Linked DNA regions of Arabidopsis thaliana. The protein of the gene in region 3 interacts with the protein of the main gene of each other region in a pairwise test. Each region holds a gene or a part of one and is shown on either strand. Other genes may lie near its edges. The genes, in order: ZFN1, NAC004, AGL75 and PAP2.

What was found.
Region 1: the proteins of AGL75 (region 3) and ZFN1 interact in a two-hybrid assay, tested with the Arabidopsis thaliana proteins (one large-scale study listed by BioGRID).
Region 2: the proteins of AGL75 (region 3) and NAC004 interact in a two-hybrid assay, tested with the Arabidopsis thaliana proteins (one large-scale study listed by BioGRID).
Region 4: the proteins of AGL75 (region 3) and PAP2 interact in a two-hybrid assay, tested with the Arabidopsis thaliana proteins (one large-scale study listed by BioGRID).

Annotation. Positions count from the first base shown.
Region 1 is NC_003074.8:610,298-618,385, forward strand, and holds ZFN1 (zinc finger protein 1), read left to right. Parts: upstream 1-3,474; 5' UTR 3,475-3,777; coding exon 3,778-3,832; exon of another isoform or gene 3,833-3,959; coding exon 3,960-4,117; intron 4,118-4,250; coding exon 4,251-4,313; intron 4,314-4,432; coding exon 4,433-4,552; intron 4,553-4,637; coding exon 4,638-4,877; intron 4,878-4,973; coding exon 4,974-5,300; intron 5,301-5,388; coding exon 5,389-5,619; 3' UTR 5,620-5,848; downstream 5,849-8,088. Other genes in the region: AT3G02810 (Protein kinase superfamily protein), read right to left, coding at 1-8, 122-294, 398-488; AT3G02820 (zinc knuckle (CCHC-type) family protein), read left to right, coding at 1,225-1,587, 1,677-1,799, 2,423-2,522, 2,684-2,997.
Region 2 is NC_003070.9:432,621-440,658, reverse strand, and holds NAC004 (NAC domain containing protein 4), read left to right. Parts: upstream 1-3,736; 5' UTR 3,737-3,883; coding exon 3,884-4,037; intron 4,038-4,119; coding exon 4,120-4,382; intron 4,383-4,530; coding exon 4,531-4,662; intron 4,663-4,742; coding exon 4,743-5,009; intron 5,010-5,095; coding exon 5,096-5,209; intron 5,210-5,335; coding exon 5,336-5,485; 3' UTR 5,486-5,694; downstream 5,695-8,038. Other genes in the region: NAC005 (NAC domain containing protein 5), read left to right, coding at 1,100-1,253, 1,345-1,607, 1,736-1,876, 1,980-2,237, 2,325-2,441, 2,553-2,708.
Region 3 is NC_003076.8:16,487,498-16,494,288, forward strand, and holds AGL75 (AGAMOUS-like 75), read left to right. Parts: upstream 1-3,046; coding exon 3,047-4,039; downstream 4,040-6,791. Other genes in the region: AT5G41190 (RNA-binding NOB1-like protein), read right to left, coding at 131-280, 365-484, 727-895, 1,015-2,065, 2,197-2,515; GSTT1 (glutathione S-transferase THETA 1), read right to left, coding at 5,053-5,247, 5,351-5,556, 5,636-5,715, 5,784-5,837, 5,926-5,986, 6,147-6,220, 6,320-6,387. UniProt on the Arabidopsis thaliana protein: Probable transcription factor that may function in the maintenance of the proper function of the central cell in pollen tube attraction.
Region 4 is NC_003075.7:14,321,468-14,329,418, reverse strand, and holds PAP2 (phytochrome-associated protein 2), read left to right. Parts: upstream 1-4,057; 5' UTR 4,058-4,205; coding exon 4,206-4,627; intron 4,628-4,731; coding exon 4,732-4,985; intron 4,986-5,065; coding exon 5,066-5,207; intron 5,208-5,351; coding exon 5,352-5,413; intron 5,414-5,716; coding exon 5,717-5,754; 3' UTR 5,755-6,123; downstream 6,124-7,951. Other genes in the region: AT4G29070 (Phospholipase A2 family protein), read right to left, coding at 6,384-6,511, 6,659-7,310. UniProt on the Arabidopsis thaliana protein: Aux/IAA proteins are short-lived transcriptional factors that function as repressors of early auxin response genes at low auxin concentrations.

The DNA.
Region 1 (8,088 bases), on a different chromosome or scaffold from region 3:
GCCACCACCTACAAGACAAATTCTTCTGATTCTGATGATGGCTCATTGAAAAATACCTAACTTTGGTGATGGTCTCATGAATGTATCCTAAATTCCAAATTCTGGAGATTTAAGGAAGAACCTGGCCAGTAGATTTGAGGGTTCCTTTGTAAACCCTACCAAATCCACCTTCTCCTAGCAAACACTCTTGCCGGAAATTCTTTGTGGCTGTAGCTAATTCCCGGAAAGTGAATATCTTCAACGATGTTCCTTCCGATTGCTCTATTTCCTCTGTTTCTTCTGCACGTCTCCTATCTTTAAAAACAAACAAAAAATGATCATTTTTTGTTTTCTTTCATTTTACTGATCGTATGAACAAGGAAAACTAAGAAATGGTACATCGTTAGGAGATAAATACCATCTGGTTTGGGTTCGTTGTTGTCGTTGGTCTCATTCGTAGTTGAAGATTTCTTGTTCTTTGGCGAAGAGAAACACGGAAAACAGTGCATGATGATGATCAAAATCGGTTTTAGCAATCAAAGAGTATTATTATTTGAAGATAAAACAGATCGAAAAGAATTAGATTTTTGGAGTTTTGTTTAGGATTAAGCAATGGTCGGGTCCTTCATGGAGATTGAAGGACCCACGTAAAAGAAGAAACACAAGAAAAAAAATGAAAGGAGAAAGAGAAGAAGAAGATGAAGTTGACAATCCAAACCACCGGAAAATCGATGAAGAAGAGTAATTTTTCCGAGAAAAAATGGACAAAAAAAAAGTTTAGATTTTTTGTAATAATCTCAATCTCTCATAAACTCTTACCTTTTCCCAAAAGCATGGAGAACCATCCTTCTTCTTTCGAATTTCTGTATAACCTAATTTTAAAAATCCTGTAAATAAATTCTCAAGTAATGATCTTGAAGTGGATTAATCTGTCCCACAACACACTAAAATTAATAATTTTTGCCAGTATTGATAGATCATCCCGCTAAAAAACGCTATTTCTGGACTATAATAATACTATTTCTGGACATTATTTGCAACTCTCTGTCTTCTCTACTACGTTACTAATATATTCTACTGGGCTTTAAGGCCTCAAATTACAATATGTTTGGTTCCAAAATTTGTATTTAATGGGCTTCTCTTTCTTTAGGTTTTTATAATAAACCGGGTCAAACAGTACCCGACTCGTCTAATTTTCCCGCTAAAGAAAAAGTGAAAACCGCCCAAATAATTTTCGATGGTGGAATGATAAAAGACCTAAGAGGGAGAAAGAGAGATCGAAGAGTGAAATCTGAAATGGAATCAGCTCCGACGGGATGCTTCAAGTGTGGTCGTCCCGGTCATTGGTCTCGTGATTGTCCATCATCGGCTCCGGTCGCCGGCAATAATTCCGTTTCTTCTTCTTCCGCTCCATCTCAAATCCCTAATAATGAATTTCAGAGATCCTCCAGTAAAAGTGGAACCTCAATAGCTCCTGCTCCTAAAGTGACGAAGACGAGAGTTCAAAGGCCCAAGCTAACTCCTGAATTGTTACTCTCTGAGGATGGTCTCGGCTATGTTCTTCGCTATTTCCCTAAATCCTTCAAGTATCGTGGCCGAGGCAAAGAGGCAAGTCTTTTTTTCACCCGCAGATTCGTTTAACAGCGGTTTTACATGTTACAGTGTGATAATTTGGATAATATGAATAATTTTTATAGGTGAGCGATTTGGGGAATTTGATACGGTTGTACAGTGAGTGGCACACTCATTTGCTACCTTACTATTCCTTTGATCACTTTGTGCATAAAGTTCAACAAGTCGCTTCTACTAAGCGTGTTAAGGTACTACATTGCTCGATCCACTTTTTCTGTTTTTGTAAAGCGTTCTTCCTTGTGGCAATTGTGAATCTATGAATCCGGATTTAAAGGTTGAAAATATTCCGATGATTGTATTAAGCAGTGGTTAGTCTAGATTGCTGTAATCAGAATTACATTGTTCGTCTCCTTGTTTGATGTTCACTCATGTGTTGCTTTCAAGTTGCAAGATAGAGGATCTGAGTATTTGTTAGGCTGTTTTGGTATATGATCATTGTGCTCATATGTTAGTCTTTACTTGTGTAACATACTTAGGTTCTTCCAGTAACTAAAAACTATATGTTCACTTGATGGCTATGTTGCCTTTGCGTTTATACTTGATCTGAATCCTGCTGACGGGCTAACATCGTGAAACAAATTATATAGGCCAGAATGACATTGCTTGTCTCGTTCTTTGGTGATCAATCATCTGTTGCTTTAAAGTTCGAATTACTAGACTCTGAGGCTGTGTTAGGTTGCTCATACGTTCTTTACTTCCCTAACATAGTTAGGTTCTGCCAGAAACTGAAACTATATATTCACTCAATGGCTATGTTGCCTTTGCATTTATACTTGATACATTGATATATACTGATGTGTTATCCTTTTAGAATTGTATAAATGAACTGCGAGAAAGGGTTGCCAGTGGAGTTGATCCAAACAAGTTATACGAAAAGCAGGAAGAAAATACTGTTCCTTCTGATGATCAAGGTATGTCAAACAGATCAGCTTTTTTCCCTTGAATCTTCTTTTAAGTTTAAGATATTGATACGAAAAGGAAACGCTTCTTATGTGGCTGCATAACACTTAAGTTCAATATCTGTTACATTACAATCTTGTGGGTAATGAATAGTCTTCTGCTGGTAATCTAGATATGGATCAGCCAAGTCATGACGAAGAGAACATACCATCAAAGAGCGTTGATGCTGATACAAATGCTGATGCTTTTGAAGACAGTATGTTGAATGAGATATTTGATAATGCTTCAAAGTTACCGAGCGATGAACAAAACATGGATAAAAGCAGTGAACTGACAGAAGAGCAAAGAGCACGTATGGAAGCTAATAGATTGAAGGCAATGGAGAAAGCTCAGAACATTTCCGAGGAACAGAGAGTACGTATGGAAGCTAATAGGCTAAAAGCTCTCGAAAGAGCCAAAGCAAGGCTCCAACCAAATCAAGATTAGACTAGAGATGTTCAATTTGAATTTTGGATTGAAAAATTTGTGCTTTTGAATGTTTCAATTAGTTATCTAATAGTAACAAATGTGTGTCCGAAACTAGAACATATGTATGGATGTCTGGTCGTGTGTTAGTTTCGGTTGTGGATCCATCAAACCCAATATTATGGACCGTAATTTGTTCCAACCCAAGTTGATGATAATTGGCATAAAAGCTCTTTATTGTTTGGTAGATTTGATTTTTCCAACAACTAAAATAAATAAAAGTTGTATATTCAAAAAAAATTCATAATAAATGGAATGAAATAACCACATAGAAAAGGACAAAGATAATAAAAATTTCTGACGTGTTCTCTACCGTCCAATTTTGGTGGAGAAGATAAAATAAAAATTGTCGCACTCTAGTCTTTACGAAAATAGAAAAAAAGAAAATCAGTAGGGGCATATTCGTCTACGTACATACACAAACTTTAAATTAATTGATTTTTCTCAAAATTTCTTGTTTGATTTGTGTGGAGGTGAGACGAGAACGCTTTTTTGCTTTTCGTCTTTCTCTCTCTCTTTCTTTCTTCACTACCTCTCACCTCTCTGTTTACACGATTCTTCTTCTTCTTCTTCTTCTTCTTTAGATGTCTTCTTCCTCCATTGTCATCTACCTCTCTACACTTCATTTTCTTGTTGGAAGAAGATCGATTACCGGTGACTCATTCTTAGTGATGACAGTATAATGTCTGATGCTTATTATCATCATCATCATCATCGGAGACATTCTTCCTCTTCACGTCTATGGATTTTAATGCCGGAGTTCCCATGTCTTCTCTTTCACCTTTGATGAATCAAGGTCCTATCAATTTCTTCTTTCTTTTCTCTGTTTTGATCGGCAAATTTTGGTTATTTGTTTTGTTTTTAAACGGATTGGGTTTAATCTCAGTTTCTTCTTCTTGGTTTGGGTTGTGGTTTATGATCAGATGCAATGTGGCAAATGAATTTGAGTTCAGATGAAACAATGGAAACTGGTTCTTACCCTGAACGACCAGGAGAGCCTGATTGTTCTTATTACATAAGAACTGGTCTTTGTAGATTTGGCTCTACTTGTCGGTTCAACCATCCTCGTGATCGGGAACTGGTACGTTATGGTTTTTGTGTTCCTCTCTGTGATTTTGGAGTTTAGAGATCTGTCTGGTCGGATTATAATGTCAAAGCTTTTGCCTTTTGGAATTTTGTTTTTGAGCTCTTCTCTCTCATTGTCCAATTTCTAGGTTATAGCTACTGCAAGGATGAGAGGAGAATACCCTGAAAGGATTGGTCAGCCTGAATGCGAGGTAAGAATCTTTGGTTTGTCCAGTTGTAGATGAACATTTTGTCAAGGTTTGGTAATTGAGTCATCTTCTTACACAAACTAACTTAACATTTTGTGGTGTTGTATGTTTTGGTTGCGCAGTACTATTTGAAGACAGGAACCTGCAAGTTTGGAGTAACATGTAAGTTTCATCATCCAAGGAACAAAGCTGGGATTGCTGGAAGAGTCTCTCTCAATATGTTAGGCTATCCTCTACGCTCGGTATATTTGACTTTTTGACTTGCTGATTTCATTACTTCTCATTGTTTCATCATCTTAGTGATTCTCTGTAATGTCATATATGCAGAATGAGGTTGATTGTGCTTATTTCCTAAGAACCGGACACTGTAAATTTGGTGGTACTTGTAAATTCAACCACCCTCAGCCTCAACCAACCAACATGATGGTTCCTACCTCAGGGCAACAGTCTTATCCTTGGTCAAGAGCTTCTTTTATTGCCAGCCCTCGTTGGCAAGATCCGTCTAGCTACGCTTCCTTAATCATGCCTCAAGGAGTTGTCCCGGTTCAAGGATGGAACCCTTACAGTGTAAGTTTTCTAAACAACATTGCTTATACTCTTCAGACTTTATATGACTTGGTTTTGATTTCTGTCGAGTGTTTCTCGGGGTTTCCATTTCGTTAGGGTCAGCTCGGCTCAGTTTCTCCTTCAGGTACCGGAAATGATCAAAACTACAGAAATTTACAGCAGAACGAGACAATAGAGTCAGGCTCTCAGTCTCAAGGATCATTCTCGGGTTACAATCCGGGATCCTCTGTTCCGCTAGGAGGGTATTATGCATTGCCGAGGGAAAATGTGTTCCCGGAGAGACCAGGACAACCCGAATGCCAATTCTACATGAAGACAGGTGACTGCAAATTTGGCACAGTTTGCAAATTTCACCATCCTAGAGACAGACAAGCTCCTCCTCCTGATTGTCTCTTAAGCTCCATTGGCCTCCCCTTACGCCCGGTAAGCTCAAAGACTTGTGCATAATTACTTGGTTCTCTTCGATTAAATCTCTGCATTGTTTGATTTTTTTTCTTTCTCAAAATGATAGGGAGAACCGTTGTGTGTGTTCTATACACGCTATGGAATCTGCAAATTTGGTCCAAGCTGTAAATTTGATCACCCAATGCGAGTATTCACATACGACAACACAGCTTCAGAGACAGATGAGGTAGTGGAAACATCAACAGGGAAATCTAGAAGACTCTCTGTGTCTGAAACAAGACAAGCAGCAACAACATCCTCTGGTAAAGACACTACCATTGATAATACACAGCAGTGAAGAAACAAAGGAAGAAGAAGAAGAGCTTTTAAACAAGAAGAAAAACAAAAGCTTTTTGATTTTTCAAAAGAGGAATCTGTAAATTCTCATTTTCATTTAGTCTCTCAAGCATTTATTAATAATGTATAGAGGTGATTTATACAACTGATCTTGATCTTGATCTGATCGCCATTGTTGTAATATTCTTTTGGCGAATCAGGTTCAATAAAATTGAAAGTAATTTCCCTCATATTTGGCTTTGACCATGTGCATTGGTGCGATTAAAATATTTCGGTAAAATCAAACCCAAATGTGTTAAACTGGAGCCTTGTTTTTTCTTCAACTCATAGGCCTTTTAAAGGTTGGACCTACCGTAGAAATAAGTTGGGCTATAAATAAAGCCCATATTAAATTAAAACATTCTAAACCCAATAGTTGTATAACCGGCGTCGTTTTGTGCTTAGTTCCATCGGTTGCCCTAAACCTCTCTGTATAAACTTTGCGTTTTTCTTTCTTCCGTTACCTCCATATCAGTTTTTAGGGTTTAGTGTTACAGTGGCGGAGATATCTTAGTTTGTGTTGGTGTTTTCTTGTATGAGGTCATCTAACAAAGCAAGATAGGTTATAATTTGTACCAATTTTGTGTCGGAAGATGACAAGATTAGTTTTATAGGCCTCCATGGGAATTTCTTCATGGAACTCTTCTCTTCCATGGAGTTGCTCTGAGGAGGTTACACTTCCATAGTCGTATGTATTTATCTATGTCCGAATCAAGCTCGTTGATCAAATCATAACCTTTTGTGTTAGTTTTGTTTTTTTAACACTCTGAGCTACTGTTTTCTGGTGTCTGATGAGATTCGTCATCCTTAAAGCAAATAGGTTATAACCTCTGTGCCAAATTTGTGTCGGAAGATGACAAGATTGATTTTGCCTCTCCATGACAATTTTGCTTCATGGAAATCTTCTCTTCCATGGAGTAGATCTATGGAGAGGCACATCATTGTGCAATTGGTAAATTCGTCTGATCGTTTTTTTATATGTGTTTCTGCTTTTATTATCGGGAGAACATTATTACAGCAAGATTTTGTGTCTGAAACAAGAGAAACGATTGTCCATTGATACTTATAGCAGTAACAAGCGAAAGAGTCTGTAAATGATACAGAGCATTCTTTGATATGATTATCCAAAGAGGATCTTATTGATGAAGAGTCTGTAAATTCTCCTTTTCCTTATTTATAAAAGTCCGTCCTTATTACAAAGCCGTAGAATGAATTTGCAATGTTGAAATATGGATGAAATTTTGAAACTTGATTCCTGGCGATAATTTGTGCTTTAACTGAAGATTAGGTAATTTTCAGCATTAAGATAGTTTGAGAATTCATGGCTACGATGATTGAACCAACTGGCTTATGTTTTACCTATCTGCGTTAAATTTCGTGGTAAACTGAACCGGGATGTAATGAATCCGGTTTTGGTTTGATTTTTTTTAAATGAAAATAACTTTCTGTGGATCTTTTAATCGAAAATAATATTGAACGTTACATAATTGGGTGAAAATTCGTATTTATCAGATATTTGGTTTTGATCGAATCTTCGTGTGGTTTATCTTAGATACTCGAACTTTTAAAGCAGTGTATGAATCTACGCGTAAAATATTTAATGTATTGAAGTAATATTGGAAAAACAATGACGCGGGGAAAAGTAAACAAACACGGACCCGACGACGGATAAGCGACCAAGCCCGAGTCGCATCGTCTTGGTCTTAAGTCTTTCCCTACTCGTTTTATCATTTTCTTAAACTAAAAACTAATTTAATCACTCTTAATTATTTACTTTTTTCTTTTAATTCAACTATGACTAATTCTTATTCACAGAATGAGTCTCACATGCCTACTCGTCGTACTCGACTCCAGTCCAAATGTTCCCATACTTGTAATCTATACTACATATATTATACGTCATCGTCATGTATATACAAGACTCAATATATAACGTCCAAATTAATCAAAGATTTAACATGATCGGGAACCAATATCTAATCATCGATTAGATATATTTAAGTCTAGTAACTAATTAGTATATTTTCTACAAATTGTTTAATTAAACATATAGTATACAGTTGGTAAAGGGGAAACACGCGTAATCTATATGTATATATTAATAATATATAGTTCTTGGTATGATCTTCTTAGTTATTTATTTACTAAGCTTTCTAGACTTTAACAATATTTGAATGAAAAAAAAATTTAATTAACCGTCGAAAAAAAAGTCATAAATCTGGACGCAGAATACTAATCCACAGATTTCAACGGTCAACATTCCAATTCAGTTCACAAACCTAAATCAAACGTTCCATTTCATACCTTTTTTCTCTTTCAAGCTTATACAACCTTTGACCATGTCTCACTTTATTAATAAGTACAAAACCACCTTACATTACATGCATATATATAAATAAAACACGTTAAGGAACATATATTTATACAAATC
Region 2 (8,038 bases), on a different chromosome or scaffold from region 3:
TATCCATATTTGCATCATTGAAAAACAAACAGTATCACAACTATGGGTCTGACTGGTAGTCTTCTATAGAAGAAAAATAGTGAGAAGAAAAAGAATTCTTCTGTGTTGTACTTAAATGTAACCAGTCAGATAAAAAGTAATTGGTTTTGTTTCTTCCCAATTCTTCAAAAAGCAATAAAAAGTAATTGGTTTTGTTTCTTCCCAATTCTTCAAAAAGCAACGTGAAAAGGAAGAATTCATCCCACTTCAAATACATGAGAGAGAAAATTCTTCTGCTTTTTGCTTTTTCTTTTCTTCACTTTTCTTCGTTTATTTTTCATCTCATTTCGTCCATTTTTTATCAGTCACACCCTATATAAGTAAGAAAATGGTATAGCATTTTTCAAGTTGAAGTGGTTCTTCTACTCCGCAGATGTGTGTATGTAGAGCTGAGGAATTTATGAATGTATATGTAAGCGCCCCTCTTTTTTTTTGTCTTTTGTAATTTAATATTCACATTGTATTGTATGCTATGTTCCATACTCGGCAAATCCTTATATTTGTGGCTGGTTCTTTTTATTTACGACTTCTACGAAGTTTCCTATATACAAATTTCAATGTGGTTTACTTTTTGTGATCTTATATAAGCTTCAAGATAAATTAACCATTGACGTTAACGTTAGGAGTAACTGTCACATCACATGACTAAGCGCACTTTGACTTAAGTGGGTAGGGTATCAAGAAGATGATCTGGTAGGAAAGAAATTATGTGACCCAACATCTGCATTATGGGGTCCAAAACCTGTCCGTAAAATAGTTGACGAAATCTACCAAGGATCTCAATTTTTTTTTTTTTTTTTTTTTTTAGGATCTCCTTTATTGTGCCTTATATAAGCGCACAAACCCATCTTGCCTGCTTAGAGCATGACCAGCGGTAGTTTTTTAAATTTGGTTCTCAACAGTTAAGATATGCTTTAAATCCCTTTGTTGGACTTGCTCTTATGATATAAACTTGTAGACGAGCGGGCGAAGAGCGACCATAGAGAAAGCTCTCTACTTCATATTTTGATATCTTTCCCTCTCTTAGTTTTGATCTGAACCTTTTTGTAGCTGTTGAAAAATGGCGAATCCGGTGGGTTTTAGATTCCGTCCGACTGACGGGGAGATCGTCGACATTTACCTCCGACCGAAAAATCTCGAAAGTAACACGAGCCATGTCGATGAAGTCATTAGCACAGTTGATATTTGTAGCTTCGACCCTTGGGACTTACCTTGTAAGTCTTTCTAACGCGAGTGTTTGTTTTTCTTTGGTTCCCAACTGTTGTATCATCCCGGTAATTTCTGATCATGTTCTGTCTTTCCCAGCCCATTCTAGGATGAAAACAAGAGATCAGGTTTGGTATTTCTTCGGCCGTAAGGAGAACAAATATGGTAAAGGTGATCGACAGATAAGAAAAACCAAGTCTGGTTTTTGGAAGAAAACTGGCGTTACCATGGATATAATGCGCAAAACGGGAGATCGTGAGAAGATCGGTGAGAAAAGGGTTTTGGTGTTTAAGAATCACGGTGGTTCCAAGTCCGATTGGGCTATGCATGAGTATCACGCTACGTTCTCGTCTCCTAATCAGGTCATTTTTCGATTCTCTTGTTTAGGCTTCTTTAACTTGTTGTTGTTGTTTTCTTACCGTGATTTTATTTCTCGTAAACGGGAAAAATCTGAGTTTATGGTAATCATTTATGCTGAGTTGATCTGTAGATAATGACATACACACTCTGCAAAGTTAAGTTTAAGGGTGAAAGGAGAGAATTTTCAGTTGCTACTGGTAGTGGAATTAAGCATACTCACTCTTTAATCCCTCCTACCAACAATTCTGGAGTTTTGAGTGTAGAGACAGAGGTGAGTCAATCTCAAAAACTTTCCCTGTTTCTCTTTTAAATCTTCAAAATCATATCTCGTACACATAGTTTTTTCATCTGTGTTACGTTGTTCCTTTTTTCAGGGATCGTTGTTTCACAGCCAAGAATCACAGAATCCAAGTCAGTTTTCTGGCTTTCTTGATGTGGATGCACTAGATAGGGACTTCTGCAATATTTTGAGTGATGATTTCAAAGGCTTCTTTAATGATGACGATGAGCAGAGTAAGATTGTTTCTATGCAAGATGATCGCAACAACCACACACCTCAAAAGCCATTGACCGGTGTCTTCAGTGATCATAGCACCGATGGTAGTGATTCTGATCCGATTTCTGCAACAACTGTAAGCAAAATTTTCCTATTTTACCTTTACTATCTCCTCTGTTTTCAGTTTTTTCTCACAAAGCTATAGTTTTGTTTAATACGACAGATTTCCATTCAAACTTTAAGCACTTGTCCTAGTTTTGGTAGCTCAAATCCTCTATACCAAATCACTGACTTGCAGGAATCTCCTAACTCAATCAAGTTAGTGTCATTAGCTCAAGAGGTGAGCTTTATCATCTCCTTTTCTTAAAGACCAACCATTCTAAACTGCTAATTAACCAAGCTACTTTGTGCCAGTACTCACAGCATTTTGGGTTCTATGATGTGATTTAAGGTGAGCAAAACACCGGGAACCGGTATTGATAATGATGCACAAGGGACTGAGATTGGTGAGCATAAATTGGGTCAAGAGACGATCAAGAACAAAAGAGCTGGTTTCTTTCACAGGATGATACAAAAATTCGTCAAGAAAATTCACCTAAGAACATGATATCAATTTTGTACTTTCCAAAATCTGTAGTAGTATGTAATATGTGTCTATCTGGTTTTGTAACTTTTACACATTGTATGTGTGCCCTGAGATATATTAAAATATAATGGTGAATTTGTGATAAGATGTGGTTAGAGGAAAGAAAGATGTATCACTTCATTTGATTCAACTAACAAAATGGTCAAACCACATCTTTTTTTTTTTTTTGGTAGTAACGTGACATAATAACTCCCATAATTATGTATTGTTTTGTTTTATTTTAGAATCCCCGAAAAATATTCGGATTTTCCCTCCTTTTTAATGGAAGAAAACTAGAGATACAATATGGATATCAAAAGCTGTAGCAATCAACCTAACAAAATAGACAATTTTTCGTAGCAATCAACCTCTACTCATCTAGTCAGCTAGTCCTACTTAACCCCACAAAAGATTTCGTTCAACAAAATAAAATAACAGTATCATCAAATCAAAGATGCTTTAATCTTAATTCTAGCAATGTCACGAGTCTCTTTTGGACTTTTATAGATGTGTGCCACGCGAATATCTTGTCATGTTAGATGTTTAAGCCCAAAACCCGCCATTAGACTAATCATAACTTTTATTTTATTTGAACGTCTTAACGGTCGTCATCATTCAATTTGATAAATTTTATCTTTCTTTACCAGTTGTTTTATTATTTTCCACGTTACCGACTTTTAAAAAAAGTGATTTTACTATGTATTTACTATAAAACGTGTTAAAAATTATACTAAATCGGAATGTGAAAATGTCATTAATCCGGTAAAATAAAACGGAATGAAAAAGAGTATTTAGAGAATTTGTCAGAAAGTGTAAACAAATAAAACAAGTGTGTGGGGATTGGAAAAATCATGGTGGGGTCATTAGGATAAGTGCCAGCCGCCGCCATGTGAACTTGGTGTGATGTGTCCTGCTTTCATCATACATGACGTCATCCACTTAGTGGGTCCCATCATCTGGTCATAGTTGACGTCACTTACTCCCGTCACAGCCTTTTTATAAAAAATTATAAACACACACTTCGTCTTCCTCCTAAAAACAAAAAAACTCACACATAACTTGCAGAGCATCGTTAATGGCGAAACCTCTCTGCTACATATTTTGACTTTTTCTCACCAATTTTGTCTTTTATCTGAAACTTTAGTCGCTCTCGGACAATGATGAATCCGGTGGGTTTCAGATTCCGTCCAAACGACGAGGAGATCGTCGACCATTACCTCCGGCCAAAAAATCTCGATAGTGACACTAGCCATGTCGATGAAGTCATTAGCACAGTCGATATCTGTAGCTTCGAGCCTTGGGATTTACCTTGTAAGTCGAGTTATTTTTTCCCAAACTGTTGTATCGAATTCGAAATCATTTGCTCTGATTTCCTCTCCCTCTTTTTTCACAGCCAAGTCGATGATCAAATCGAGAGATGGGGTTTGGTATTTCTTTAGTGTTAAGGAGATGAAGTATAACAGAGGTGATCAACAGAGAAGAAGAACAAACTCTGGGTTTTGGAAGAAAACTGGAAAAACAATGACTGTCATGCGCAAAAGAGGAAATCGTGAGAAGATCGGTGAGAAAAGGGTTTTGGTTTTTAAGAATCGAGATGGTTCAAAGACCGACTGGGTTATGCACGAGTATCACGCTACGTCCTTGTTTCCTAATCAGGTAATTTTTCAATTCCAAACTTTTAGGGTTTTTTGTTGTTGATTGACCTAATTCCAGATTCCTAGGGTTTTTTCTATCTCTCTTGTTAATTGACCTAATTCTGGTGTTTTGTGGTGGTGATCGTGTTTTGATTTGATTATTTGTACAGATGATGACGTATACAGTCTGCAAAGTTGAGTTTAAGGGTGAAGAGACAGAGATCTCTTCTTCTTCTACTGGTAGTGAAATTGAACAGATTCACTCTTTAATCCCTCTTGTGAACAGTTCTGGAGGATCTGAGGTGGGAGAATCTCAAACTTTCTCTGTTTTGTCTTTAGAAACTTTGAAATATCTGACATTAGTGTTCCTCCCCTTTTTCAGGGTTCGTCGTTTCACAGCCAAGAATTACAGAATTCAAGTCAGTCTGGTGTCTTTGCTAATGTGCAGGGAGAATCTCAAATCGATGATGCAACTACACCGATTGAGGAGGAATGGAAAACATGGTTGAATAATGATGGTGATGAGCAGAGGAATATCATGTTTATGCAAGATCATCGCAGCGATTACACACCTCTAAAGTCGTTAACTGGTGTCTTCAGTGATGATAGCAGTGATGATAATGATTCTGATTTGATATCTCCTAAAACAGTAAGCAAAATTTTACTCTGCATCTTGATAATCCTCTGTTTTCAGATTTGACATCAGAAAGCTAAAGTTTTTGTTTCATATGACAGAATTCTATTGGAACTTCGAGCACTTGTGCTAGTTTTGCTAGCTCAAATCATCAGATAGACCAAACTCAACATTCTCCTGACTCAACAGTCCAGCTAGTGTCATTAACTCAAGAGGTGAGATTTATTATCTCATTTAACTCTAAATGCTAATCATGTTACTTTGTTAATTTCACCACTCACAACATTGAGACCAGATTAGAGAAATTATTTAAATGGTTGGTTCTTTAATATATTTTGCAGGTGAGCCAAGGTCCGGGTCAAGTGACTGTGATTCGAGAGCATAAATTGGGTGAAGAGTCTGTCAAGAAGAAAAGAGCTAGTTTCGTTTACAGGATGATACACAGATTAGTCAAGAAAATTCACCAATGTTATTCTATCTCAAGAACATGATAACAATAGATGAGACCAAGAACACCTTTTAGTACTTTTCCAAATTTGTAGAAATATAAGTTATGTCTATCTTGTTTTGTAAACTTTGATCAGATTGTGTGACTTCATGTATGTACTCTCTCTATATAAAAAGGGTGGATTTGTGATACGAAGTTGTTAGAGAAGATAAAGTTGTATGAATTCAATTAATACAACTACCAAAATGTTATGTCTATCCTTTTTTGTGTAAAATTTCCCTATTTTATGTTGGTCCAATATATAAAAACGGTAAATTTGTGATGAGAAGTCCGAGAAGAGAAAGTTGGATAATTTTCAATTCATACACGATACAACTAATAAAATGGTCACTTTCTTTGACAAAAGATGAAAATGATCACAATCAACCTTGAGGCTATAGTCCTACCTAATCCCCACAAAAGATGTCAGGTTCTCAACAAAAGGAAACAAGGATAATATCAAATCAAGATGCTTCGATTTTAATAATGTCAAGAGTTTTCTATAAGACTTTTAGTCTACATCTTACGTGCAGCATATTGTCACTTTTATCTTTGAGTCCAAACCCCATTTGACTGATGCTAACTTTTTGTTTTCTTCCTCATTTTGAGATTTTTTATTTTATTAACAAATAATGAACAAGATTCTTTGGCTAAATACAACCAATCCAAATCAAAATCATTTCAGCAAACTGTTACCAAACATTTCTCTAAAATTTAAAAAAAAAACAAAAAAAAAAACATTTTCTCTAAATCTGAAAGAATATTTTATGGCCAGAAAATATTATGGCCTTAGTTGAAAGTTGAAACTGTGCCTTGGTTGAAAAGTATGCACGGCGCGTGTAATTAAAATGCTTCCACGTGGCCCAATTAGCTCACATATTTTAGATTTGGTCGTTGTTGGTGTTTGGTAACATGTCCTGGCCCACCACTACTTCACTGTTCAATTAATTAATGAAAATCCTAAATTGCAACTTGCTAATACTTTAGCTTTACTACTCCTTGGTAACTCTTATAACGAACTAATAAGCTGTATTTAGCAAAAAAAATTACTAAGTAGGAGGAGGAGTATTTGGTTGGAGCTGTCTAGTTCTTTTATCTACGCCTCCTACGAAGTTTCCTATATACAAAATCATTATATGTGGTTTACATTTTTACATCGTTTGCTTCGACATAAATAATGAACTATCGAATTTAACAGAGCAAAAATAGAAAAAAAAATGTGGGATTAACAGCGTAACTGTCACATGATAAGTGCAATAATTATATGTCAGTCTTTTGATTAATGTATATTTTAAAAACTTGCAACTTGCAAATACTCTTTTCCCCTCTTTTTTATATTAAAACTAAAATATAAACCTTTTCTATGCCATCCTGCAAGGCAGATTTGGGCACTATCACAAATTCCTACGGCCCCAAGGATTTTTCCTTCGAATTCAATTTTTACGAATTTGGATCATTTGTTTTGGAGAATTCCTTCAGGCGTCGATTCGGCTTCTTACCCATGGATAATTTGGTATATATGGAAAGCAAGAAATGAAAAAGTTTTTGAAAATGTGGATAAAGATCCAATGGAAATATTGCTCTTATCGGTAAAAGAGGCTCAATCGTGGCAGGAAGCTCAAGTCGAGCTCCATAGTGAAAAACATGGTTCCTTGTCTATAGATAGTCGAATTCGGGTGAGGGATGTATCACAAGATACAACTTTTTCTGGCTTTCGGTGTTTTATTGATGGATCTTGGAAAGCAAGTGACCAGTTCTCAGGAACAGGATGGTTCTGTCTATCATCTCTTGGAGAGTCGCCAACCATGGGAGCCGCCAACGTTCGTAGAAGTCTATCTCCTCTACATACCGAAATGGAAGCTCTTCTTTGGGCGATGAAGTGCATGATTGGAGCAGATAATCAGAACGTAGCTTTCTTTACAGACTGTTCAGACTTGGTGAAGATGGTGTCTTCTCCAACCGAATGGCCGGCGTTTTCAGTGTATTTGGAGGAGTTGCAAAGTGATAGGGAAGAATTCACAAATTTCTCTTTATCTTTAATTTCTCGTAGTGCAAATGTAAAAGCGGATAAGTTGGCACGAAAGATTCGTACCGTACCGCATCATGTCACGTATGTAAACAATATCCCTCGGGATTGGCTCTTTTGAGGTTTAATTTATATCGGTTGACAAAAAAAAAAAAAAAAAAAAAACTAAAATATAAACCAAAGGGTAAAGATATTTTGTGGGAGAACATTTTTCTTATTCATGAACCAAAGATGACGATAAAGCAATGTATGTATGTTATATGAGTAAATATATATGATTGTGACAAATGATGATAACCAAACTTGCCGCGTGTTTACCATTCCAAAACTGACCTACGCCGTCGCATATAAGATATAACCTTTTGAATTGTCTTCACTCTTCAGCGTCACAAACTCACAATTTACAATCTTTTTTGGCTCACACAATTTACCCAACTTACACTTTCTTTTCTGTGCAACAACTTAACTTACTTTATTAAATACATTAATACACCATTAATTTTTGTGATAACTAGAAACGTTAGGTATAAC
Region 3 (6,791 bases):
ACTCTCACCTTTTCAAACTAGTTTTGGACTTCAAACAACAATCAGAAAGAAAAAGTAAAAGTACAAAAAAGAGACAAAATCGTTGGCATCTGAAGTACAGGAGATGTTTGTTGTGTAGGAGAAACAAAGATCAGTGCATAGAACGAGAGTAATGGTTGTCATTAGGGTTTCTTTTCTGGCTGAAAACCGACATAGCTTTTCTCACAGGAGGCTGCAATGGCGCCTTTCTATCACTATGATGGTTCAAGAACACATCATCTGATACGAAGTACTCATCACCCTGCAAACAACAGCATAATTTACCTTAAGATTTCAATCAAAGTTACAGATTTGAGTTTGAGATAGAAGACACGAAGAGACTAACCGGTTTGCTTGCTTTCTTCTTGGTCCTAGGGTGGAGAAGCTTTTGAGGGAGTTGATCTTCCCGTAGAATCAGATTCTTGGTGATTGCCTCTCTTCCTCCTTTAGGCATTGGTATCGAATACTGCACAGAAAGAAAAGACACATGTATCAGGAGAAGTTTTTATCTGTGTATTAGGTTGCAGATTTTAAAGGAAACAAGGGTTTAAGTTTAAAGGCAGTAACAAATGACAAATTGATCATATACATGCCGGAAAACATGGTGGTTCTGTTCTCATGCTATTTCAAATAAAGAATACAAGATTCTTCACTAATACAGGAATTTTTGGTGTTTTGGTTAGCTTCTGCTTATAACAAGTTACTTACTTGGGTCCCTCGAAGTGTAATTCGTGGTTTACATGCAGCTATGATGGCGCCATTCGCGCCTATTGTAACCGCTACCTTGCGTAGAGTGCCACCATTCCCACATTTGGGACAGAAGATTCTTCCAATTTCAGGAGTTACTGTGTAGCAAGCATGGCATTTTAAGATCCACCTGAAGATGTCAATGCAATAAAGTGTAAGAATTGTATCTTTTTCAGTTAATGACCCTTGCTAAAGAAAAGTGTCTGACATTTGAACAAAAAAAAGGAAGATCTGATCAATTTAGAGTACCTATGCAGTTGGCGAATTTGCATTCCGCCGGGTGCAAGCAATCGCAAACCCATTTGAAGAATAACATTCTGCATTGCATAGTCACCAGTTATACAAGCTACACTGGACTCAGATAAAGCTCTCAATGACCAACTCTGCTCGCTGCTACCATCATCTCCAATCGATGATGCCTCGAAGGTATCCTCAGCCTCACTAGCAATCTCCAAGTTCTCTAGCGCTTGATTTGCAACATCGATCCCCTCAGCTTCGACTTCAATATCATGATCAATATCATCCTCACCATTGATCAAAGTTGCTTCAGCATTCGTCTCTTCAGTCTCTTCTTGGAGAGCCCTTAATGACTCTTCCTCCAACCTCATATCTTTAAGGATGGAAGATATATCCTCACCATTCTTTCCACTATCTTTTGCGTGGGTTTCATTGGCCTCTTTAGTGTGTCGAGCTTTGTCAGCTTCTTGATCTTTCTGAATTTCTTGTTCAGCCAAAGCATTGTAATGTTCCCACCTTGCCTTTCTTCTAAGATACTTTGAGTGAGTACTTCTACTGACTGCGGGTCTCCAATCACTAGCATCATCATCATCATCATATTGCCCCTGGGATGCATCAACTCCCTCCACTACCATCTTACCCTCAAGCTTAATCTCTGTTTTCTTGGGCGGGTATCGCCTATGCTTCTTCCCACCTTCCTGCACATCCTCTTCATGATTCTCAGTATGAGAGACAACAGAACCAACCTCAGAAACATTGTCTGAAGCAATAATATTCATGTTAAGGTCTTTCAATGGAAGGATTTTGGAGTTAGCGTTGGATTTTTCCTCAGTCTCGTTTTCAAGTGCCTCCCACTCCTCCAAGTTAGCCACATTGGAGCCCCAACCAGGTAAATCCTTCTCAGGTAATCTCTTAACTCTAACAGTTTGAATCGGTGGAGGAACATCTCTAAGATTTTTGGTGCCATAAACCTGAGCCTCAAGCGTGTATGACAAAGCAATCAACTTCAGATCAACATCAGACAGAGATTGCAAATCACCAGTAGCTCTTGCAAATTTGATAACTGCAGAACCAAAAACAATCAATCTCAGAGATACAATACAATCTTTTCTCCAACACAAGAATATACAAATACCTACTTAGGTACAAATTTCACAATCACAAGAATAAGAATCACAAAACTAATAAGTGTACCTTTACTTAGAGATTCAGGAGAAGGTTCCATGGTATCAATAGTGAAAGGGATGAAAGCGAGACGACGGCGAGAAGCAGGGTCACGAATCTCAGAGAGAACCTCAGGGACAGTTACGAATTTGTCGGCGAAGTTTGTTAAGCTCTGACGTCCTTCAATGATGGCGTTGGCGTCAACAACCGCAATAGATATTCCTTTTGTGGATTTGCAGTTTCCGACCATCCCGAGAATCGCTGCCGGAGCTCCGTCGTTAACCGGAGGCTTTGAAGGTGGATCTTTCTTCACAATTGAGCTCCACATCGAGGTTGGTTTCGGATCCATGGTTTTCGTTATTTGCCGCTTCAAATGTGGGTGGGTTTAACGAAGAGACTGAGAGATGGAGAGAAGAAGAAGAGTGTAAACAAAAACCTAGGTCAGATCCGAGACGACGTCGCTTTTTGTCCATAATTTTAAATGGGCCTCACAAGGCCCAAATAATTGCGTAGATGTATAAAATACTATCTGATTAGAGCTAGAATTTGAAGACTAGTATTAACCAAACCAAACTAGATCATATCAAGGGTTAATGATATCAAATTATAGTTGTGTTTCCTTTTTATCAACCCTTAACGGCTCTAGAACGTAAAATCTATGGAAATCGAATCTATGCAAATATATGGAAATCGAAACGAATCTATCTATGCACACATCTTTACGCGTTTTTTTATCACCGATCATCTATAAATATATCTAATTCTTTCTAACTATTTCATAGTTCATCATCTTTTTCACAAAGCCAAAGTTTGTCTTCGTGCTTTCTCTTAACTTTGAGCGTGAAAAAACACAGAGTTTGTCTTTGCAATCAACAAGAAGATGACTATGCGATCATCTTCACCTTCGTCCTCTTCTTCTTATTCACTCGCTTTCACAAGTTTGAGCAATAGGCTTGAGACCATCTTCAAGAAAGCTTCAGAGCTTTGCACTCTTTGTGATATCGAAGCCTGCGTTATCTATTACGGACCAGACGGAGAACTTAAGACATGGCCTAAGGAGAAAGAGAAAGTGAGAGACATTGCTCTTAGGTATAGTCTATTGAACGAAGCATTGAGACGCAAGAAAAGCGTTAATCTTCATGGGTTCCTGAACAAGAAGAAGAACAAGGGTTTGAAGAATCCGAACAAGAAGATGAAGACGAGTCTTAAGAACGTGAATATTTTAAAGTATCCACTCGCTGATCATTACCCTCCCGACCAAGTTTCTCCACTGATTCAGTCCTTGGAACTCCATGTCTCTAAATTCCAAGAAAGGCTTCGATTTCTTGAGTCGCAGAAACAGAATCAGACAAAACCGGATCATCAGAGTTTAACACCATCCTCTCTGAATCATTACACCCAATCTTTGAACCCTAGCCAGTTCTCGCTGTTTATGTATAACCATGGAGACAATACTCTGTCTCAGATCCCAGTCTCTGCATCAAATTTCAATCAGGATTATTTCTCAGCGTTACTTGAAGAATCTGAGTTGAAGAATCAGTTAATGAAGCCGGAGATTTGTGGTTATGATCAGAATCAGAACATGAGCATGGGTGACATCACAAACAACAAATTTCAAGATCCTTGCGTCTCAAACAAAGAAGCGGTACAAGAATCTGTCAACAACTTTGGGTTGAATCAATTGATGTACAAGGAGTTTTATGGTTGTGATCAAAACATGTCTATGGGTAACATCAATAGCAACAGCTTTCAAAATCCTTGCGTCTCAAACACACAACATTACTCGGCGGTAGAAGAATCTGTGAAGAACCCCTGGTTGAATCAGTTAATGCAGAATGAACTTTACGGTTACGGTTATGCAGGCTTTTGTTAAATTCTTATGATTTATTAAGAACATCTTGAATCAATTTGATGTGTTGTTGTTGATCTGTATTCAGCTATTGTAATAAATTTGAATCATCATCCCTAGAAACATTAATTACTAAAAGCCAATTTTATCTATTTCTGATTGCTCTCTATCATAATAAAGCCAAATTTCCAATAGACTCTCAACAGAGCAATAACCGTGGCTGAGTTCTGATTCCTCCACTTTGTCTTTGTCTTTTCTATTCACAGATATAACATCCTCTCTTTTCAAACCTGTTTCAGTGATTCTCTGTTCTAAGAAATAATAATCATCGCATGTTTATTAAACGGAACAACATAAGCATTACAGTTTCAGTAAACATGAGAACAGTGTGTGGGGGTGGGGTGGGGGGGGGGGTGGGGGTGGTGTTTGGACACTAATGTTTGCAAGCTTAAAGATAAATTGTGCAGGTGACTCTTCACACTACTGTTATTTTTTGTCTTGTGATGATGATTCCTTCCCTACCATAATGTCTGCACTCTGCAGCAACTTCCCTCTCCTCTTGACCTTTATCTTGTGATAGTCCCTCCCCTTCCATTATGTCAGCTGCAGTTTCCCACCCCTCTTGGCCTCTATCTCCTGATGGTTCCATAAGTTTCCATACTTCCATTATATTTCCACCTTGCTTTCCTTTGAGTTTTAGCAGTGCAGCTACCCACTTTTCTCGACCTTTACCAGCTAAAAACGATCCTAACAGTCTAAGGCCCAAAGGAAGTAAGCCAGTGAGATGGACAGCACAAACTGCGAGCTGGTTCAACTATAATTTACATATAAATCTAAACCTTCATGTTGTGATGTTCAAAATGCTCGGGTTCGGTAAAAACCTTTGATAAAGTGATTATTACATATAGTTCAAAAAACAAGTGATTATTACATTCCTTATTTTTCTTACAATGGAGAATAGGAGATAATCGGCTTTTCTTCAACGAACCAGTGACTGACCCCTGAAACCGGTTTTGCCAAAGTTTTGTTCTAAGTTCTTAGATCTTGGATTGAAGACCCGGTTTAGATAAGGTTCCCATCTCTCGCCGCTTCTGGAATCCTTCTTTGACTTTGAAAAGGATCTCATGGGTCTCATCAAAGTGAGGCATTGTTGCTTTTTTCGTATTCTCAATCCATTGTTCAACTTTCTTATGAGTGCTGAGCAATCTAAGACGATCTTTGTCATCCAAAACCTACAAAATTGCATAAATTTTACAATCAAAAGCCAAAACATAGCAAGGATTGGTATTTCGATGAATTAAAAAAACGCACAAAACAGTGAAATTAAGTGAGTACCTGCAGCTGCATAAGTTCGCATACAAGGCTGAGATCAGCTATAGATGGTTGGTTGCTTCCGAGCAAGAATTTAGCATTGCCCTTAAGCCAAAAAGTCTCTAGAGTGGACAGAGACTTTGTTAGTAACTGCTCAGCTTCAGCAGCTGCTTTCGGATTCAGAGGAAGACCGAGAGCTGGACCTAGTACACTATTCAGAACATATCCAGCTGCAACAGTAAAAACAACCGTAATCAGAACTATTTGACTCTATAACTTCTCAACATCGATGAATATAATGTACAATACCTGCACCACGACGTAAATTGGTGTGATGCCAATCCAAAACTGAGTGAATCTTGGCTCTTTTGGATAGATCATTTGGATACCTAAAAGTAAACAAATGAACATCAAAGCAAAATGATTACACTTTGTGTCAAACGAAGTAGAAACTTACCAATGATCAGCAACACTTGGAAACGCCGAGGATAGATATATCAGGATTGCGTGACTACGAAAAGAATCAACGGTTAAGATTCATAAAAAATGGTCAATAAACCAAAGCAAGAACCCAAAAGAGAATGAACTTTTGTGTTAACCTCTCAAAGAGCTTAAGCCTGCCATCAACAATAGCTGGAACTTTCCCCAATGGGTTAATATCTGAAGAACAAGACACATTTCTTAACAATATTTACATTAAGAAACAACACTAAGCATATATAGCCTTAGTCTACACTAATCTACACTAATGATCTCATATACACTAAACATAAATCTACCAATACTCAGATTTGAAACTTTGTTGATTATTTGTACGAACCTTTGAATTCAGGAGATAATTGTTGACGCTTCGCCAAGGAAATCAAGACCTCATCGAATTGGATTCCATTAACCCTGCAAAGGATAAAATCCAAACAAAACAAAGATTCTCATGTATTAGAGAAAACAAAATTGGCTGAATCTGGAATTAACAAGGAAGTTCAACGAAATTACTTGCAGAATATGATAACAGCACGTGATGGCTGTGACATTCGATCTGCATACACTTTGAGCTTCATCATCTTCTTTTTCGTCTGATTTTGTGGATCACTGAACGGTGGTGATAATATGGACAAGAAGAGAAGTGTCTCTACAGTAGCTTGCTGTTTCTACAGTAGAGAGTAAAACACCGTGCCGTTTTTGTTTCTCTGTTGTGACCAAAGACCTCTCTAAACCGGTTGGTTAGGCTAATTGCTCCTTCTTCACCATCAAAGCAATACAATTACAAGGCAGAACCGGCCCTTAACCAGAACCAGTTGAGACTTGAGATCACAATTTTTTTTGTTTTTCTTTGAAACAGATGCATCATTTTTTGGTTATCTAGAGAACTAAATACCATTAAGTTGAAAATTGTATCATAAAGTTGACGTTAATGAAATAATCAACATTACAAAAAACTTATAATACCAACCTGTTGATTTTCTCA
Region 4 (7,951 bases), on a different chromosome or scaffold from region 3:
TAAACCCCACTAGGCCACTAATAGAAATTGTTTCACTAGATATCAGATCAGTATTGAGTAAAAACTCAAAGAAATTGAAAATTTCACTATTAGCCGATTGAGTTTAAAAGATGGATTACAAGAGATGCATCATGCTGCGTTTTTATGTACACACCATTCTTCATTGCATTTTTCAATAATAGGAATCTAGAGATCATTTGAGAATTGAGGCCGAAATAGCACTGTAGTTTCTGCCTTTTTCTTTATCTAGTTACATTAATTACAAACTTTTCACTAATTTTCCAACAAATTTATCCATCGATCGGTTCAACGTTTTTTCAGTATATATCAAGATCATTATACATTTAAGATTAATAGATTTTTCGACTCAAAATTGTGTGTATATAAAGAAGAAATTAGTATATGAAGTCGTTAAATAGAACAATGTGAATATTCATCATGTGGAAATTGAGCATTCTTTTTCTTCATAAATCTTGATAGTGGAGCGCAATATGCATATATATTAAGCACATACGTAAACCCATATCATTGAGTATGACTTAGAAACGTCGACTCTGATGGACAAAGTCAATCTCCCAATATCAAGCACTTTCTATAATGTAGCCCATACCATATGTATCTTAAAGAAAATCAAATGAATCCCATGATTACAATCTTTGAAATACCTTAAGAAAAAAAGTTAATCTTATTATATAAAGTACAATTTTGAAAGTTACTAACTCACGAGATCATGACACGTGGTTATTTGAACGATTTTAGATTTTGACATGTGTTTGATTTTTTTTTTTACTTTTTCCTAAAAGAAAATAGAAAACTAAAAAACAAAGATATTTATATATACTAATTAATATGTTTATATCTAAATATTTAACTTACAATTTTCTTATCTAAAATATAAAACTAACAAGAAGATGGAGTGTATATAATTAAATTATATAAAAAACTAACAATAAGATGGAGTGTATATCATTAAATTATATATTTTATTATGGTAAAATAGGTATTTAAATTGTATTGCAAAATCGAATTTGTAAGATTGAAATTTGGTTTAAAGAAATACTAAATTACATACTGAAAAAGTATGAGAGTTACGTTACTATTTAAAATTCAAATATCATTAATAAGATGGAGTGTATAGGGACTGCATAATCCGAGTTACTCATGTGTATAGTAAAACTAATCGCATAGTGAATGGATTAGCAAACTATGCGTTTTAATTACTGCTCGGTTTATATTTATTTGATGTTTGTCCAACAGTTGTAAGTCCGACATTGTCAGAGGATATAAACGGGATGTCGTTTCCACAGAGTGTTTGAATGTAGTTTTTATGTTATAAATAACAAAATAGTTTATTATGATGAAATAGATAGTTAAAATATAAGTAAAATTGAATGTGTATGATTAAAATTTTATGTAATATAAAAATTACTATATTAAATATTAGAAAAAGTGTGTAGATTACTATTTACTATATAAAGTTTAAATATTATTGATAAATATTTAAATAAATTTATATCATACATCCGCCTATTTAGGCGGCCTTATCTAGTATATATATATGAGGGCGTGTGTAGAGATTATACTCAGCCACCAAACGATCCAATATTATATATATGTGTGTGTGTTCTATATGTAGACAGCGCCGAAATTAATAACCGCATAAGAAAAACAAAACCGGCAGTTACCATTATGCGGTTTAATTTGATGACAGGTTAAAAAATTATATCGATCTAATTTGATGACAGGTTAAAAAATTATATCGATCTAATCATTTATAGCCATCGGATTGATTCGATATGGTAGGTTATGAGTTATAATGGAGCATGAGGTTCTTGTATGGATGTTAAATCAAGGAGGGTAAGTGGCTTCTTTGTCTAAAGATTCACACTGTCTCTTTGTTCTTTTTTTTTCTTCTTTTTTCGATTACGACACAAACCGATCTTTCACTAACGCTGTAAGTACGGTCGTCCACTGATTTAACATTTTAGGTTTAGTGTAATTCCATTCGATCCTCAACTAACTACATAGTTTTCAATTATAGTCATAATTATTATGCTTGATGAAAAGCAGAAAAAAATGAAAAAACATTAAGTATAACATCAGTACTAAAAATAAATAAAATTATAGTATGTATTTGTCGCTCACACAAGTCTATAAACAAACATTCAAAACCAACATTTTAAGTTACTTAAGCTGTCTCTCGCTAGTATAATTAAACCCTAGAGTTACTTATGATGTCTCTTGTTAATACAGTAAACCCAACGTGGCCATATATAATAATAACAATAATTAAAACCGCCACATGTGATGCAACATCCATATAGATAAGTAAATACTTTGGGTAACTCCAACTAATCTTTAGATTTTATAGCCTTCATATGATTTCTATAGTGATAGACACATTTTTACTAAAGATTCGTATCCTTAGATAGCTTTGTAAGTAACTAATGGCACGATTAGATGGTGAGTTAAGGTGGAATATAAGTTGAGATGTCCCAAAAACGACAAAAACCTTGCCCAAAAAAAGAGAGAGACAAAGGAAAAGTTAAAGAAAGGCACCTTATGATTAAGACACTCGAACTTACACTAAAACACAAATCTAAAAAGCTTTAGATAAGATCCAAAGATGGATCCACCTTAGAGGCAGGCTTTAACCAAATTACTATGCATATGATATTTTATAATACTGCAACTTACAGGTCTTTTTTGTATGTCTTCTTGCTATGTATATACTTATCGTTGTTACAAATGAATGACTTAATCAATACAGCCAAACAATATATAAATCACTGGTAGAATATAAATGACAATATTTCATATACTTCTTCTCATGTTATATTGTTATAGCATCAGATATATTGGTTTAATAAATATGGGTTAAAATATGAGTTGAAACGTTTAAATGTAGATTGAGTCATCCACTTAAAAAATATACTTGGAGATAGATTAGATGGGCATAAATACTATCAAAGTTAAATCTGATTTGATCATTTAAACTTTTATTAATTTAAGACTATGATCCAAGTATCAAAGTTTTACTAATAGGTCAAATTGTAATGTACTGTAGCATATATGCTCGATTTTGGGAAAACATTGTCTGATAAAAATGAAAAGTGGAGTGTGGAGACCACAATTCTTTTTGGGAACACTGCTCAATATTGCTACTGCGGCTAAGTGGCAAAGAGCTACCCCTACTGTTTCTTTCCTCTTTTCATGCTTCTGGTGGACCCAAAAAATGAGAGCCTATGGGCCCAAAACTTTTTCGAGATTCTCTTCTCTGTTCTCACCCCCAAGCCTAAATATCATCTTCCATCGCAATTATTGGCGACTTACTAATAATCTCCATTCGTTAGCTAAACTACTAGTGAATTTATACAAGTTTGTGAAGTTTAAACTCCAATACGTTTGATTTATTATAGAATATGTTATGCTATCATGCACATGATTAAATGGTTCACCGTTATTAGATTATCATTATCATCACTCAATTTCATGAGTAAAGATTGGTTTCACGAGCTAACTTATGAGTTATATCAAATCGTCTAGTGAATCTAAAACATATAATGTTAAGCCAAACTAAACAGAATTAGTGACTCATTACAACATCTCTATACATATATCAAAAAGGAATTGCATACAAAAGCGTATTTTAGATACTAAATCGTTTTGCATGATAGCATAACATGCACACCTTCATGAGATAGCAAATTGTTTTTTTCAAATACAAAAGTAAAAAGTAAAACAAAACGTGGAATACGAGAGTCGAGACAAGGGCATAATAGGAAAGGTTTCAGGACGCTTTCTGTGACCTGTCGGGGAGTAGATGTCTACACAAAACGTAACGTGTATATACAATACATTCATGTGTACCATTTTCTTAAATCAACATTTTGTGTTTAAACCCGCCAAAAGAGGAAAGTACTTACTTCTAATTACGGTTTATATGAATATAAAATTACGTATACTACTTCCGTCCACTTTTGGAAAATAATACGATTCCAAGAAAAAAGAAGATTAAAGGTAAAAAAATAAAAAAAAATAAAGCTCTCTCACACACCTTTTTATCATTTCTCATTTTCACTCACAATTTGATCTCATCTTTAAATTTTTTTGTTTCCCATTTCTCTCAGAAAGTGTTCTGTTCTTTTTTTCTTTTGTAATCACTAAATGCTTCAAAAGTTTGTCCACAATTATATTTGAAAAAAATGTCTGTATCTGTAGCAGCAGAGCATGATTACATAGGTTTGTCAGAGTTTCCAACCATGGAAGCAACAACAATGTCTGACAAAACCAAAACCAGAGACAATAACAACGGTCTCAATTTCAAGGCTACCGAGTTAAGACTCGGTTTACCCGGTTCTGAGTCGCCGGAGCGAGTCGACTCAAGATTCTTGGCTCTCAACAAGAGTAGCTGTCCCGTGTCAGGTGCCAAAAGGGTGTTCTCCGACGCTATTAACGACTCTAACAAATGGGTCTTCTCTCCTGGATCCACTACTGCTACTGGTGATGTCGGCTCGGGTTCTGGTCCCCGTACCTCCGTCGTTAAAGATGGAAAGTCGACAACTTTCACTAAACCGGCTGTTCCGGTTAAGGAGAAGAAGAGCTCTGCTACAGCTCCAGCTTCAAAGTAAGCTTTTTTTGCTCTGTTTTAGATTTTTCTCAGCTTTTTTGCTCTGTTTTATGATTTCTGTGAAGAGGGATTCTTGATGTTTTTTTTTTTTGATTGAGCAGAGCACAAGTGGTGGGATGGCCACCAATAAGATCATTCAGGAAGAACTCAATGGCTTCTTCTCAATCTCAGAAACCTGGTAATAACTCAGAGACTGAAGAAGCAGAAGCTAAGTCTGGACCAGAACAACCTTGCTTGTATGTCAAAGTGAGTATGGAAGGTGCTCCTTACTTGAGGAAAATCGATCTCAAGACTTACAAAAGCTACCTTGAGCTCTCTTCTGCTCTTGAGAAGATGTTCAGTTGCTTCACCATTGGTAACGTTTTCTAGTCTCTCCTTCTTTGAGATCAATACCAGTGATTGAGTTAACTGTTTTCTTTTGGTTCCTTTTTTCAGGTCAGTTTGGTTCTCATGGAGGGTGTGGCAGAGATGGGTTAAACGAGAGTCGCTTGACTGATCTCTTGCGTGGTTCTGAGTATGTTGTAACCTATGAAGATAAAGACAGTGACTGGATGCTGGTCGGAGATGTCCCTTGGGAGTAAGTCTTTGATTTTTAAAAGATCAATCTCAACAATGTAAATTAACATCAAGTATTAGATCATATCTAATGATCTTAGCACAGTTTTAGCTTAACAGAAGAATATAGATCAGTGAAGCTCTCTTACTGTTTTTTCCTCTGCAGAATGTTTATATGCTCCTGCAAGAAGCTGAGAATCATGAAGAGCTCTGAGGCTATCGGCTTAGGTTAGTATTTCTTTACTAAACCCTAGTTTAATGTTCCACACCCATGTGCTCGATTTTAAGATGTATTAGAAAGGTGGTCCATTTTGAACTAAGACACCCTTCTAATACTTTCATGGTTCTTAAGCTTCTCGCTGGATTCTATAAACATTCTGAAGCTAAAGAAATATATTACTGGAGAAACTAAAACGATGCAATTTAGTCCTTTCCAAGCCTCTTAAACACTAGGAACTTACTGCACACTACTGTACAAATGAAGAATACACAATGATTCATACACAAATCTTGCTTTTTCTTTTTTTGCAGCTCCAAGGGTGATGGAGAAGTGCAGAAGCAGGAACTAGGAAAAGCCCTTTTATGTGATAATATATGATTTGAAAAAATATGTTTTTAAGAAATTGAATAGCCATTTTGTTTTGAAGTATTCTTGTGTGTTTGTGTGCTAGGAGTGATGTTTGATCTTTCTTAAACCAGCCTCTACTAAGCTCTAATAAGGCCTCTTCCTCTTACTTCTTTCTCTAATCAATCTAATGAAACATATGGGTTTGTGTATGTGTGTTTGCCAAGGAAGACTTCATAATTCATATGTATAAAAGTTTTGGTAGTGTGTAAACCGGATGTGGTTTTCATTGTTATATATGTTTTGGATGCAAACTTTACTATAGAAAATAGTTTTTCTAGTTCATGAGTTTCCATGAAATGAAGTTATAATGATCCTTTGATAGAGCTTATATCATTCAAACAAAAGACTTCAAAAACAAGGGTTTATTACTAGACATGTACAACGGGTTTACAAGACGCACAACACTTACTAGCGTTTTCACATCTTCATACTAAACATATATATCTATACTACTAAAGAACCTAATCCTCAGATTCCTTTCTTTATGACTTCTATGTACAAAACGAAAGTGAAGACACCCACAAAGGCTTACCGGGATGACAGAGTACCTCCGATATACTTCCTTATGTCTCAGTTTTTCTGAAAACTCCAGCTTCTCTTGCTGAGGTTGCTCACTATCCAGCCAAAGTCGAGTAGATTTTGCCCGTATTGTATCTTCACAAGGTAACTTCTGTAGGGTATTAGTATGCTCTTGAGACCTGAAAGCATTCGAGATAGATGGTTTCAAGATACATCAGTACATCACCAAATGGAAACGGCCATTATCAAATATTACTACCTGAATAATAAGGTAAATTATGAAATAATCCCACATTGATATAAAAGCATAAGGAGATTGTAGTTACCTGTAATGCACATTGTTTTGTAAAAGTGAGCAACTTGAGCATCTCCCCTAGTAACTACACGCTTGTTTGATTCCAAACACTCAAGAAACGCCATGTCAGCTTTAAGCAACTCTGCCTGGTCATGAGTATCATAACCAATATCATGGCAATAACAGCAATGATCTAACCAATCAATAGGTCTCTGATCCCAAACCATCGAACCTCCATCTTTCCCACTAGACCAGTTAGGTCCACAATAATGTCCATATCTCGGGAAAAGCTGTGACAGAAACGCCCTCGTCCCTGTATGCCACGGAACCTTAGACACATAAGGTCTAAACCGATAAACAGTATTCACACCATTTGATCTTGATGACCTCCGAGAAAGAGCATGCCTTTTTAACCCTCTGTTGATAGTAGTGGGTTTCTGCTTACCATCAGAGGCATTTGCAGACCAAGGAAGAACTGAACTGAAGGAGGACCAAGTCCATATCTTTATATCAAATAAGCCTTTCTCTTTCTCTGGCTGTTTGAGAAGAAAGGTTGTTGCTTTCTCTTGCTCTGGCTGTTCCAATAGAGAAGTTGTTGTTGGTGTCACGGAATCAATCATAGCTACATCTTTCTTTGTGCTGATGCTACCAAACCAAGATATACTTGGCAACCCAAAATTCATCTGTAAACAACAAAACAGTGCATGCAATGACTTCAGCAATCAAGTGTGATCCAGACAAAAAGGGAAGATTTTTATCTTTTCAAATTGGGAAAATTTCGAAATTGCGAAAGATCAATACTCAAAACCCTAGAATTGACTAGTAAAGAAGAGTAAATCGGATCTCGAAAATAACAGAGAAGGATAATTCGAATGAGCTTTTGCATTGAGAGATTGGAATGTTCACGAACCTGAGCTTGAGAGACGCTACGAGAAGAGACAGACACACGTTTTCGTTTTTTTTTTCCTTAGCAAATGACAACCTCGGAATATCGTTCGTTACTTTATGTCTTTATCTATCCCTAAATTTTATTGGGCTCAAAATGGGCCGACCGACCTTTTTTAGCCCACAAATTATAAAAGGAAAAAAACATTATTGTAGTGTATGTAGTAATTCGGTCGGTTTGATTTTTATATTTAGATATAATATCCAAAAGGAAACAAAAAATTATTTTATTTAGTTTCACTTCTTCAGGGAAATTCATTTGAAACTTCTATTTAAAATAAGGTTTAAAATTTCATTATAACCAATCTTTCTCCGAATTTAGTGTATAATGTCACATTGTCACTAAATGCACATTTATATAATGCAAATCTCATATTTT